3 linked regions of the Schizosaccharomyces pombe genome follow. The gene in region 1 interacts genetically with each later gene. Each region holds a gene or a part of one and is shown on either strand. Other genes may lie near its edges. The genes, in order: gyp1, hob3 and hen1.

Region 1 (5,134 bases):
GAGCGTTTGATGGCATAACAAGAGCAACAAATTGAACTTATTTGTTTTCCTTTGTTAATAACTCTATTTTAACGATGTATAGGATTCGTTCTGACAGCTTCATTTTTATTCCAGCAAAGCGAAGCAAAACGGATCATTCGCTTCGTGCCAAAACAATGTTGTTTTATGGATTAAAAGATGATCTTCTTAAAGCAGCCATGGCTAAGCATTCATAATACGTGATAGATCATGTTATAGACTTCATCTTTGTAGATCATATAAATGCTTAAGTGTTGAGTCAATGACACATAGACTGTACTTGTCTATTTAATTTGTCTAACGTATTACATTCATAAAAAGCGCGTAAACGTGTTGAGTCTTATAGAAGTTGTTATGACTAGCAATTCAAGAACAAGTCTGATTCATAACATTATTTAACATTTCTTTATTCCATTTCATTTTATTCTTTCTCTATGTTAAAATTCTTGACTTTGCAATATAAACAGACAAATATGCACCAAGTAGCTTGTACAAATAGCTCCTAAACGATCTTTGAATGCATGAAGATAATATTCTATATACCAAGGATTTGAATACTTCACGATCTTACTGTATGAATATATAAACAATAAATAGAAAATTTCTAGTGAATCGACAGTACTCTGACTGATTATTAATTTTTTCTTTAAAATGTTTAAATATTCTACTTTAAACGTCTACGGCCATACCTAGGCGAAAACACCAGTTCCCGTCCGATCACTGCAGTTAAGCGTCTGAGGGCCTCGTTAGTACTATGGTTGGAGACAACATGGGAATCCGGGGTGCTGTAGGCTTCCTTTTATTCTTTTTGCTTTTTGTTTGAGCTCATTTGGGAATAATAATCATTTACCTTGATTCGTACTTATTCATTTCAATACCTTTGCACATAATATTATTGTGTACTATGAATGATATTTTGGCAACCAGGAAATCTTCTTACAAGTCGTAATACGACTTAAAGGGAAGATGTATGGTTTATTTTATTGTCATACAGTAACCTTTATTATTGGATTGGAGTTGTAGTTTCGATTTCATCACAATGAATAACGATACTCTAGAGTGTTTTCCAAGATGTAAACGAGAGAAGGAAAGTGTTTTTTGGATGATTATTAAACTTACTATAATTTTTGATTGTTCTCAATATAAAATTTATCTTAGTACATATTTATTTTGTTCTCATGTCAGTTTTGGAGAACATACATTACAATTTCTTGACAAGACAACATTTGGAAAATTGCTCTGTTCATTAAAACATTGAAAACCGTATATGTTTTTTAAATCATTCCTCTTCAATGCATTTGTTGAAGTAATTTTACTGAATCAAAGATATAAATACATGTTTGAAAACAAATACCCGAAACTGCTAAAAAAAAGACTGGGATTGAAAGTTAGACTAGATTCGTTGATCATCTACTTGAAAAATGTGTTTTGTTAGAAATATATAGGAACAGGAAAATCTTAGACTGTATTTCAGGAAAATTTAAACTTAGTAGGTATTAAAATGCTTATAATTCATCGTATTATATTAGGTAACTAGGATGTCAATACGAAAAATAACAATAAAATCAGAGATTCATTATTGACAGGAAATACTTTTTTACGTTTCTTAATCAACGTTTATACTTTTCTCTTTTTTGTTTTGAAAAGCGACTAGTCACAATTGTCAAAATTACATTGTTCACTTTTACTGGCAGCAACTTAAGTAAAGAAGAGATAGAACTCATAGATATAAACATTGTTAAATGAGACCTAGCTGTGTATCTTTTACTACTCTGCGCATATAAACCCAACATTCCCAAGCAATAAGACCATGCACGGCCAAAATCCTTCTATCAACTGTTCATGGCTTAAAACGAATTTCCTTTAACTAAAAAGTGAGATAAATAATTAAAGTATTAAACCTTGCTCCTTTTATTAAAAAAACCTCATATATAAGAAACTCCATACACCTACTGTTTTCCTCCCTATTGTTTTGTTCTTCCACCAAATAAGGGCAACTGCCTTGGCAACTGCACAGACCGAGTAAATCTTCACAATTTCGTTGATATTCGGTTAAAATTTGTAAATATACTAGTGTATTGGATTGTATCTAAGGTTTTCTCGAAACATTTGTTCGTGTTCAAATTCCGCGCTGTTCTAATAGATCACAAGATCTCGAGCTGGTGCGTTTTCGTTTGGATGGAACCCACAGACACGGCTTTGCTTCTAATAGCTTAAGTTTTTTTTTTTTGAAAATAGTTTTCATTTGATAAGAAAAGAATAAGACTTCAAGTCCGGTAAGTCTATGAGTGGTGCCTAAGATCCTTCGTCGTTAAACATTTGAAGTTATTGCCTTCTAAAACGTTTCATCTACTTTTTACAGCAAATTTTGAAACTGTTTTTTGCATCTTAACCAAAAGTATTTTATTTTGGCGATAAATTCAAAGAGTATCTGTTATTTGCTAAATTTGTTGTGTCCATCAAGGCTATCAAATTACTGCTTCATTTTGTAAAAACAATTTTTCTTCTCGTATTTTAAGATTTTCCACTATGGAATCTCAGTCAAAAAAGTCGTCCGCCTTAAAAACTCTCTCCAGCTTATGGAATGGATCCTCTAGCGCCACTTCGGATCCAGTTACTGTTTTGGATCGAAGCCGGACCCATCACCATCGTGGTCGAAGCACTTCTTCCAAAGCTCAACCGTTCAGATTGGACGACTCTGTTTACTCAGATCAACCCCCAAAAGATCATATCTCTTTGGCCCGGTCCATAACTAGACCCGAATCTGCTAGTGAGTCTAAAATCTATGCACCTTCTGCGAGATCTTCTCTTTCCTTGGAAGCTGTTGTAGGCAAAAAAGTGTCTGCAAAGTTTGCCAAATATTTGTCACAGACAGATGACGATTGGGGAGTTTCGAATATTAAAGCCTCAAAATCTCTTCCTCGTATGGCTCGAAGTACTACTCCAAATTCTTCAAGCCGCTCCTTATTTCCTCAAAATGGCGTGGATACTACCACTTCTAGACAAAAGCTTCATTCGTCTGGTCGTTTTCCTTTACCCGCTAAACTAGCCCATCGTTCTGTAGAAGTTGAGGTTGCTGAAAGCAATGCGCTTGTCTCTCGGATCAAGAAGTTTTCGCGAATTCTTGATGCTCCAATTGTGGATTTAAATGCGCTTCGTACATTGGCTTGGAATGGAATTCCCTCCGAACATAGACCTATTGTCTGGAAATACTTGTTAGGATATTTACCTTGTAATGCTTCTCGTCGTGAAGTCACTTTAAAGCGAAAGAGAGACGAATATAACGCAGCAAAAGATTCCTGCTTTAATACAAATACAGAGCCACCACCTTTGGATCAAACTATTTGGCGACAAATTGTCCTTGACGTTCCGAGGACGAACCCCTCTATTCTTCTTTACCAAAACCCATTGACGCAGCGTATGCTTGAGCGTATTTTATATGTTTGGGCCTCACGGCACCCAGCCAGCGGATATGTACAAGGCATCAGCGATTTAGTTACTCCTTTTATTCAGGTGTTTTTGTCCGAATATATCGGCGATAAGGACCCAATGACATATGACATTGCTCTTCTTGATGAAACTAATCGTAATGATATTGAGGCTGATGCTTACTGGTGTCTTTCTAAATTGTTAGATGGTATCCAAGATAACTATATACATGCACAGCCTGGAATCCGTCGACAGGTGAATAATCTGCGAGAGCTTACTTTACGTATAGATGAGCCATTAGTAAAACATCTTCAAATGGAGGGTGTTGATTTCCTTCAGTTTAGTTTTCGCTGGATGAACTGTCTTTTAATGCGCGAGCTTAGTATTTCGAATATCATTCGGATGTGGGATACATACATGGCGGAAGGTGTCCAAGGATTTTCTGAGTTTCACCTCTACGTATGTGCTGCATTTTTAGTGAAATGGTCGAGTGAATTACAAAAGATGGAATTTCAGGATATATTAATTTTTCTGCAGTCTATTCCGACAAAAGATTGGAGCACAAAGGATATCGAAATTTTACTATCTGAAGCTTTCCTATGGAAATCATTGTACAGTGGAGCTGGTGCACATTTGAAAAGGTAAGGCATAGTAGCCATTTCGTTTTCCCTTTTCAGAGCATTCGTCTTCTTCCTTAATCCCTTGCTTATTTTGGCATAGCAGCCTTTTTCAAATGCCATCCTTCCTATGCATTTTTATAATTAGGTTGACAAATCTCCTTCGTTAATTCATTGTGTTGCTTTTCTATGTTTATGAGCTTATGAGTCTAAGTCTTACTTCTTCTAATAAATTTTCCTTTCATTCACCTAAATAACTTTTCAAGTTTGCTCCTTAACTCAGCTGGATTGAGTTTGCGACTTTTAGAATTTATCATGCAGGATAAAGTATTTCTCTTGAAGAAAGTCTGAACTACCTTAATCATTTTTGGGAAGTTATTAACCCTTGAATTAAATTGTATATTCACTATTACTTATATGTAATTTGTCTTTACTCTTACGTTCGACCGTTCTCTAACCCTTTTCCAGTTTGACTTACGTTACTACTTTACTATTCAACGATTGTTTAGTCCATGGCGTGATACTTTACATGAATCGTTATTAATATCATTTTTTTTTCTCTTCTATGCTAGTCATGTTTTCTTTGGTTTTATCCAAGATTGTACATTACGATTTCAAAGTACGACTTTTGTATTGGTAAGAGATGATGAAAATCGACAAGACTGTACTACATGGTCTGTGTCTTCTTCCTTGATTCGACCAAAATGTATGGATGAATTAGAGTAGATAATGAAAACGCTGTGACAATTTTTGAATATTTATACAACTTAATACAGTTTTTGAACTGAAATAAAGAAGCACGTTCCATTGCGTTATAGAATCATTGTATTACTTTTCATGAAGAAGAAATCATTTATTTATAACTATAGGATCAATTTCTTATCTTTTAAATTTCAATACTCATAGCTTTTTCATGCTGATTTTGCAACTGCTTACCACAACAGCATTTGCAGTGACTGTTTTTCAAACTATATTTACTATATAAGGGAGACTTTGCCTATTACCTCTACGTCTGGCTTAGGAGCGCAAATTAAGCGATAAGAAAGAAATGGATCTGTATCTTTTAGCAA
Region 2 (4,099 bases), 440 kb from region 1:
GGTGTCATGTCGGAACATGCGCGAAGCTTTTCTTAGGACCTGAGTTTGTCAGAAAGCATATAAATAAAAAGCATAAGGATTGGTTGGATCACATTAAAAAGGTGGCTATATGTCTCTATGGATATGTGCTTGACCCATGTAGGGCTATGGATCCCAAAGTGGTAAGCACGTCGTATGTATCCTTACAGATTTTAAACAAGCCCTACGTTGGTTTCAGAAATATTAACGCAAACTATACATTTCCAACAACAAGCTATAGTCGACGAAATGACGAGGAGATAACTTCTGGAGCATCATCACAAAAATCTTATTCGAGGCAAGAACCCATGATCCACAGACGGGAATTCTATAGAACTTATCAAGATTTGGATGCGCCTAACCAGGAGGTTCCAGAATTAGATTACTAAATTTATGTTCTTAGTCAGAAAGATTTTTGGTTAATATCATTTCCTGTATAGACGTTACTAGCAGTTGTAGCTCCATACTATATTTTAGATTTTAAAGTAGCGATAATCTACATTCACAGCTATTGTAAAATTGAACGCTTAAGTCCATGTTCGAAAATCAAACATCGAACGCTGCACAGATAGAAATAAACCCACTTCCAACTTGACTTACAGCTTACAAGATAGCTATTGTTTGGAAAATTAATAAATTACAATTCAAATTAATAATTCGTAAGTCAACAAAAGCATTTTTTTTTCTAATTATTATATTTTAAGATTTGGTCTAAACTTACTTAACAATAGTTATTTATTAGAACAAAACTTGGTACGAGATAGAAAATAAGCACAGTTTAGTAGATGAATCGCTGGGTCGACAGACAATATTGGAAAACCAATTTGTTTATCTGATAATTTGATAACTATTCCCAATTAAAAAATTATAAAGGAAACGTTACGAAACTGAAAGGATGTAGAAGCTTCACAGTTGAGTCTTTAATAAATATGTGCTGGCTTTCCCTTCAATTCCAGTAACACCAATAGAAAATACTCGAGGATAGATAAGTATGGAAAATATTTATGTATCACAAAAAATTGAATAAATTGAAAACATTCCGTGAACCACTTCAGATAAACAAGATAAGATGGTAATAAAGTAGTAAAAGAGAAAGGATATGTTAAACAAAAAGTATTGAGGGATAAGAGATCATGGTTACGTGTAGTAACAATTATTTCGGAGGAGAAAAGGAAAGAGAAAACAGAGTGATAGCGCTATGCACACATACAATCGTGTTTAAAAAACCGATGTCTACTGACTGTTGTTCAAACCGGCGATGGAAAGATCCCGCATACTCTGTAAAACTTGTTCAACTTTATCATCCAACAAACCATTGGAATAGTCTTCGCGTACAGAGTTGTCAAAGTATTGCTGAACTTGAGCCATTTTCTCATATCCCTCCCTACAAAAGCGGAGCTGAATTTTGACAAGGGCTTCAAAGCTAGGGTCCAAATAAGGCACACGAAGAGCAATTAGTTGCGGAAGCTCACTGACCAGTTGATTATTGAGTGTCTCGTAGACCTCCTTCGCCATGGCTGCTTCTTTCTCGGTACGGGGAAGCTTAGTAGTGTCGTTGGAAGGCTTGTCGACCAGTTTTTGAACCTTAGCCCTCATAGCATCATGATCAAGTAATTTGTGATTACGCTTCGTGATAGCGGCATTAATATCGGGAAAGTAACTGCAGAACCTTGAGATGGGATCCAACACCGTTGTCCGGAAAGGACCGTCCAACTCTTTTACGGTATCGGCGTCCAAGTCTTCGACGACTTGTCGATAGTATGCACTGACACCATCCTTCGATCCAGCATCACCGTAAAATGCATCGATTGTGTTAGCGATTCTAGTTTGAGACGCAGTCATGGCTCTCAAAGCATCGAGATAACCTTTGGCTTCTTTTTGAAGCTTCTTTGCAGCTGATTCCATAGTTCTATAACGTCTTTCCTCTGTTTCAAATTCCCGATCCACCGTTCGCTCAACATGACCCGTCTTCATCATAACCTACCACAATGTTAGACAATTCTTCAACACTCAAATACATACCGAGGTACCCGCTCGGTTAACGGCCTTTTTGAATCCATGCCAACTCATTTTTGTGATATGGAAAAGAGAAGCGTCGGCATACCCAGATATCTTATGTCAGTTGATCGCTGCGCTAATGTTCGCTAGCTAAGCTGCATTGGATCTTTTAGTGGATTCAGCAGGATTCGCGTAGGGAACAATTCACGGAAGCAAAGCCATAACGTAAAGCCTGATTGCGAAGTTTATCATTGCGTTAAATAGAATAATGATAGTTTATTTCACAATGCAATTATAAAAAGATAAGGATGAAAAGCGTGTCGTTAATTTTGTGTTTAATTGATAGAGCAAGAGCATAATGGTGGTAAATTTGGGTTTCGAGGGTTGGCTTACTTTCATGTCACTATCAATAAATTACATCGCTTAAAAAATATATCTAAATTTTTCTTGTATAATCATCTGTAGTAAATCTCTGACTGCAATTAGAGGTCTATCCTCAGATAATTCTTGTTCACTAACTGCATCCAGCAGAAATCGCCTTATAAGGTAATATAGTTATGTTATAGTTTAATATAATATATCAATGTAAACATTTTAACTTGACAATATAGAGGTAATATCGTTTGCTCATAAATGGAAGATATTGTGGAGAAGCAATTTGAAATACGGACATTTTACCAACTTATAAATTTCATTAGAAGTGGTGGAATAAATGGTTTTGCATTATATGGATATAATGTTTTGAGGCTTCGACATGGAAAGACACGATTGCTACTTATCAATATATGAGATCATTCATGATAAAACTATAAAGAAAACGCTTTTCAGCGACATTTGAGCTAAAAAAACCCGGTCTCATAGTTTGCATCCTTACTCAAAAAGTGAAGAACTTAAGTTGTAGTAGTGGTGCATTACTTTGAGAGCTATTGTATAGCGATATTAGATATTGAAACAAGAACTCAGCCATTCAATGACAGTTTGTTTGTTCTGTGGGCAGTAAGACATCCAGATAATGCCCAAGAGAAAGATTCTTCTGAAAGTAAGAAACAAAAGCACCGAAATAAACCTTTCTTCTCTCTTTGTTGTCTTATCTAATTTTATAACTAAATTTGCCCATAAATCTCATCTGTGTGATGATAATTAACCGCATTTGACCAGCCCAAATATATTCTATTACAGAAAACAAGCGCTGCTACTAATAGATATACATAATTTTATAATATAATATTAATAATATAAAAAATTTAGTTGTACTGAAAATATTATCTTATGGAAAACTCCTTATAAACACTTTTTAGCGAGACACATCTACCACCACCTTACGCAGTATGAACACGTATTATACCCCAATACCTCGCTCCTCCTTCCCTTCTGTGACGTAATAGACGAGGTTATAAATATGGTGAATTATACATTCGAGTAGCTTCCAAGATCAAACTACAATTAAGTATTTCCTTTTATTTTAGTTTAGTATCGTATTTCTCTCATATCGATACTGTGCCCGTTTTTAAAATGTATGGAAGATTGAAAGATGGTTAAGCTTTATGGTCCAATTTTACTAATCTTCAATTCAATTAGAAGTTTCAACAACTCTTCTCCAAATTTCTAGTTTAATGTATGTCAGTTTTAATTATCAAACTTAACTCTAGCTACTCCATGTCTATTTGCTTAGCATGGTTTGAAAGACCTTTTGTATCTCGACATTATCTCTGCTGTTTGTAAACGAGCTGCATTAAGATTCGAAATACTTATGGTTTTTTAGTAGCAGTCGTTGTTAGTACTCTTTACATTCGTGGAATTTTTTTTTCCCGATTTCGCTAATCAACAGTAAACGATATTATTAAGTGTGATGGATTTGAACTATCAAGTATTCACTAGCATCTCCAAAAATTGGTGGTCCGCTTCTCTCGTTCCAGTCGCCTGCGGCTGGTTCATTGGGAATTCCTACAAGCCAAGAAAGGATTATGAGAACAAAAAGCAACCAAAGTTCCACCCCCCTGCATCTGCCTTTGGACCAGCATGGACACTACTATACCTAACAATGGGATATGCATCCCATTTGGCGTACAAGGCTGACCCTTTG
Region 3 (5,482 bases), 2.0 Mb from region 1:
TTTGTTCGTAATGTCTTTTGTGTTGATACATGCTCACAAATCGTTGGAACACAAGTATATGAATTTCAAAATCAGGCTGAAATGCTTTCAAGTTGGTCAAAATTTGTTCGTGATGTTGACCCAGATGTTTTAATTGGGTACAACATCTGCAACTTTGATATCCCTTACCTCTTGGATCGAGCAAAAAGCTTACGCATTCACAATTTCCCATTACTTGGCCGTATTCATAATTTTTTTTCTGTCGCAAAGGAAACCACGTTTTCAAGTAAAGCATATGGTACTCGTGAAAGCAAAACCACTAGTATTCCTGGGCGTTTGCAGCTTGATATGTTACAAGTAATGCAGCGTGATTTTAAGCTTCGATCTTACTCTTTAAATGCAGTCTGCTCTCAGTTTCTAGGCGAGCAAAAAGAAGATGTACACTATTCTATCATCACTGACTTGCAAAATGGCACTGCCGATTCTAGAAGACGTTTAGCTATTTATTGTCTGAAAGATGCATATTTACCCCAACGCTTAATGGACAAATTAATGTGTTTTGTTAACTATACTGAAATGGCAAGAGTAACAGGTGTACCGTTTAATTTTCTTCTTGCTAGAGGCCAACAGATTAAAGTTATTTCTCAATTGTTTCGCAAAGCTCTTCAACATGACCTAGTTGTTCCAAATATACGTGTAAATGGAACAGATGAGCAATATGAAGGTGCTACAGTCATTGAACCGATTAAAGGATACTATGATACCCCTATTGCAACACTGGATTTTAGTTCACTTTATCCTTCGATTATGCAAGCCCATAATTTATGCTATACGACATTACTTGACTCAAATACTGCAGAATTATTAAAACTTAAGCAAGATGTTGACTACTCAGTGACTCCGAACGGAGATTATTTCGTTAAACCACATGTTCGTAAAGGACTACTCCCTATTATCTTAGCTGATTTACTTAATGCACGTAAGAAAGCAAAAGCAGATCTAAAAAAGGAAACGGACCCATTCAAAAAGGCTGTTTTGGATGGTAGACAGCTAGCTTTAAAAGTAAGTGCTAATTCAGTATATGGATTTACTGGTGCTACCAACGGACGTTTGCCGTGTTTAGCAATTTCTTCTTCTGTTACCTCTTATGGTCGACAAATGATTGAAAAAACCAAGGATGTTGTAGAAAAGAGATACAGAATTGAGAATGGATACTCTCACGATGCAGTTGTAATCTATGGTGACACTGATTCTGTTATGGTTAAGTTTGGCGTTAAAACGTTACCTGAAGCCATGAAATTAGGAGAGGAAGCAGCTAATTATGTTTCAGACCAGTTTCCGAATCCTATTAAACTGGAGTTTGAGAAAGTGTACTTTCCATATCTTTTAATTTCCAAAAAACGTTATGCAGGATTATTTTGGACTCGTACAGATACTTATGATAAAATGGACTCTAAAGGAATAGAAACTGTCAGAAGAGATAACTGTCCTCTAGTATCTTATGTGATTGACACAGCTTTGAGAAAAATGTTAATTGATCAGGATGTAGAGGGTGCACAGTTGTTTACAAAAAAAGTTATTTCCGATTTGTTACAAAACAAAATTGATATGTCACAACTTGTAATCACAAAGGCATTATCAAAAACTGATTATGCTGCCAAAATGGCACACGTTGAATTGGCTGAGCGAATGCGTAAACGAGATGCTGGCTCCGCCCCAGCCATAGGAGATCGCGTTGCATACGTTATTATTAAAGGTGCACAAGGTGATCAATTTTATATGAGGTCGGAGGACCCTATATATGTATTGGAAAATAACATTCCTATTGATGCAAAATATTATTTGGAAAATCAACTCTCCAAACCTTTGCTTAGAATTTTTGAGCCTATTCTTGGTGAAAAAGCTAGCTCTTTACTTCATGGTGACCATACTCGGACGATTTCCATGGCAGCCCCCAGTGTTGGAGGAATAATGAAATTCGCAGTAAAGGTTGAGACCTGTCTTGGATGCAAAGCTCCCATAAAAAAAGGTAAAACTGCTTTATGTGAGAATTGTCTAAATAGATCGGCGGAACTGTATCAACGTCAGGTTGCTCAAGTGAATGATTTAGAAGTTCGTTTTGCTCGCTTATGGACTCAATGTCAGCGATGCCAAGGAAGTATGCATCAAGACGTCATTTGTACCAGTAGAGACTGCCCCATATTTTATATGCGAATTGCAGAACACAAGAAACTTCAGCAATCTGTTGACTTACTGAAAAGATTTGATGAAATGTCCTGGTGAAAAAGATGGATGTTTTTAATTACTAAATGTGTATATCAAACGTAATGATGAAAAGTTATAATAAAAATTCTACTTTTCTTAAGTACTTTTGCAATGCGAAAACTAAACGAGTTTGCCAAAGCTATACCTTTATGTTTGCTTTTTTTTAATTCAGGACAATATGATAAGTAAATTGAATCATCATAATGGAAGGCATGTCGAATGAGAGGCGAAGACTCCCAGATAAACAAGAAAGGTAATTTTACTGACAAAGCACACTTGCCAGCAATAACCTGGAATAAAAGTAAACAGTGACGTCCAAATAAATGATCAAAAAATGCTTTTTTCAGAAGATTCATAAATTGCTGCACTGTTGGAGGAAATAGTTGCTCCATAAATGGGTATGTAATCTTTTTGTAAAGAAGGATGCTTGAATTTTGGTCTTTTAAGAAGCAATGAGAAGCAGCATTGTTTTTAGATTGATGAAATACTGCGATTTGGGTGCAGAAACCGTAAGTAGATGATGGGCGAAAATGTAACAAATCGTCACCATCTATTAGATCATTTAGCAAACCACAGCCCGTAAATTCAACAGTATACTCTGGGTATCTTTTACAAATTTTATAAGCCCATTTAGCAAACTCTTTTCGATCCCATTCAAAAACGTGTTCAGGATGTCTAAAATTGGTAGAAGTACGAGATGATATACTACTTGTCAAGGTTGATAGTTTCTCAAAGATTGTGTTAAATTCAAAATTCGGAGTTGACACTACGCAAACATTGGGCTTCAAGTTTCCAAAAACAAGTTTTTCAAAGGCTAAAATCTCTGCAACTTGACAATGCTCAATAAACTCTGAAGCTACAACCGCATCAACATGTTTATAATGAGTAAAATCTTTAATATTACCAAGCAATAATTCAATATGTAGCGGTCGCCAACGTAGTTGTAAAAAGTCTTCGGTTCTAACCTGTAAAGCCTCAGTAGCTCTTTCAATACTTTGTTCGTTAATATCAATACCGGCCAGAAATTCTATAGGCACTTGATCATTGCAAGGTACTAAATATGATAGAAAACGAGCATCTCCACATCCAATGTCTAACAAAGATCGCACAGGGAAGCCTCCTTGAAGTATTTTAAATAATTTCCTTCGACGCTGTACATGCAAAGGTGGGTAAAAGCTAGAGACACCCATTGTCTAAACTCAAAGTATTTTTGGTACACTTTCTTCACGTTAGTCAAATAACTACCTATTAACTGTGAATGTTCGTTTCAAAACCACTATTTAAGCCTTTTCAAATTCATTACGAAGCGAATTGTTATTAATTCTTTGCTAAGTCCATTGCAATATGATTTCGATGACTGCCGTTAAGACACCGAACCAAATTTAATTGAAAAGGGAATTGTTGACTAGTGCGAAGTGTCATTTTCAACGTTAAATAATAAAATTATCTTAGCTCCGAATCTATACTTTTCAATTTCCTCTTTAAAATTGTTATAATAGCATGATATTTAATTACAATAAAATATGTAGCATTATGCAAAACGAGAACAAAAAAAGCACATACAACCAGCGAAGAGTAGACGAAAATTATACGGCAAATTTCAAAAGAATGTACCTATATCCATTTTTTACAGCGCTCATCATAGATGACCATTTACTCAGAAGCTCCTCGCCGAGCAAGCATATCGGCTTGTTGATTACCGTAATCGGTACTGTGTCCTTTCACGTACTCTAGCGAAACATTTCTGTCACTCATCAAATCTGAAGCGCGGTTGATCAAATCCAAATTTTTTACAGGTTGTGAATTGCTAGTCTTAAAGTCATTTTTCTTCCATTTAGGCAGCCATGTGGTTAGTGACTTAATGGAATAATTGCTGTCAGAGCGGATGGTCAAATCGCCAGATGTATTTTCAAGGGCTAGGATTATGGCTTGCAATTCCGCACGATTGTTGGTTTGCTCTTCCCCAGCCAACGGTACTGAAATATTTCTTGGGTCATCATTTCCGAAAAAAACTCCACAGCCAGCAACAGCTCCTTTTTTCCCATTTCGCAAACTAGAACCGTCAGCATAGACGACCTGTCGATCCGAGCACGCAATTGATTTTTCATGAGTGTCATTCGAAAATATTTCAATATCTTTTTCGGTACTATAACTTCTAGAAATTTTCTTTCTATATTTATCGGAGTGTCTAGCAGAGTAATTTGAGGAACTAGAAGAATATGGAGAGTACCCATAACTTGTTGTACTGCGGCGATATGGGCCAGAAGACGAGGAGTAGCGACTTCCTTCGGTCCTGCAAAATTCCTGAGCAGCCTCATAGCTGTCAAATTTCTTGTAGCGATTACCTCCATAACCTTTCACCTGATCCGACGCCTCATCCCTAAAAATTAGTAAGAGTTTGTTAAACAACAAGGTGTATCCATCAAGGAAATGTTAATAAGAGATCATCTTGAAAAAACCGATTCAGATTGAATTGAAGCAAAGCATACGACCGTATCGAAACTTGCTTAACGTGAAACTTATATTTAACAACGAAACCATTTTCTTGAGATACGCAGTCTTACCATGTACTATATATACCAGTATTTCGACCACGCGCTACTGCATAGTATGCACGCTTATTTCCACCCATTTCGTAATGCGAAGATTCAAAAATAGCTTTAAAATAGTAAAACTTAGTAAAACTTGGGAGTTTTTCCCAAAACTTTGCAAAAATACTTGTAGTTGACAAATTGAGCTGTAGTCTTATGAGTTATTGAAAATAGTGCAGAAAAAAGAAGGATTTGGATTTATAAATTTATATTAATTTGTAAAAGAGTTCAATTGACGATTAATAATGGTAGAGCATCAGGAAATGTCACATATCTGGACTACTGCAGTACGATACATAATAAAACGGGTTTGCTTATTTACTAGCTGCATAATCTCTGCACACTATATTACGGTAAGCTAGTTAGATCTCCGCGACTGTTATACCGCCTGACATTAAAATTAATACACAATTGATAGTATATTTTATTAGTTAAAAGCTCCTTAAATATAGAATACTCATTTTATGTCCTTAGCTCATTTAATGTAGTCTAATTTCAAACAAGCAGAAAAATGTATTGTTTGTTTAGTAATAATTGTTTAAGTCATTTTACCTTTTTAAGATTATACTTTCATAAAGAATCCTCATCTCTGTTGGCCTCTGAGTAGTTTGCAAATTGCGCAATTGTTATTCTAAAAAGAATCTTTT

The links.
Region 2: mutations in gyp1 (region 1) and hob3 impair growth when combined (synthetic growth defect), as found in Schizosaccharomyces pombe (one large-scale study listed by BioGRID).
Region 3: mutations in gyp1 (region 1) and hen1 together harm fitness less than expected from each alone (positive genetic interaction), as found in Schizosaccharomyces pombe (one large-scale study listed by BioGRID).

What each region holds. Positions count from the first base shown.
Region 1 is NC_003423.3:782,566-787,699, forward strand, and holds gyp1 (GTPase-activating protein Gyp1), read left to right. Parts: upstream 1-2,000; 5' UTR 2,001-2,547; coding exon 2,548-4,092; 3' UTR 4,093-4,580; downstream 4,581-5,134. Other genes in the region: SPOM_SPBC530.02 (transporter), read left to right, coding at 5,113-5,134. UniProt on the Schizosaccharomyces pombe protein: Stimulates specifically the GTPase activity of ypt1. Functions on the Golgi as a negative regulator of ypt1.
Region 2 is NC_003423.3:1,221,109-1,225,207, forward strand, and holds hob3 (BAR adaptor protein Hob3), read right to left. Parts: upstream 2,098-4,099; 5' UTR 2,089-2,097; coding exon 2,041-2,088; exon of another isoform or gene 1,999-2,040; coding exon 1,252-1,998; 3' UTR 636-1,251; downstream 1-635. Other genes in the region: pir2 (C2H2-type zinc finger domain-containing protein), read left to right, coding at 1-407; tsp0 (tspO-like protein), read left to right, coding at 3,866-4,099. UniProt on the Schizosaccharomyces pombe protein: Involved in cytokinesis and septation where it has a role in the localization of F-actin.
Region 3 is NC_003423.3:2,744,894-2,750,375, forward strand, and holds hen1 (S-adenosylmethionine-dependent methyltransferase), read right to left. Parts: upstream 3,435-5,482; coding exon 2,298-3,434; 3' UTR 2,263-2,297; downstream 1-2,262. Other genes in the region: DNA polymerase delta catalytic subunit Cdc6, read left to right, coding at 1-2,262; ribonuclease H Rnh1, read right to left, coding at 3,898-4,624, 4,809-4,876.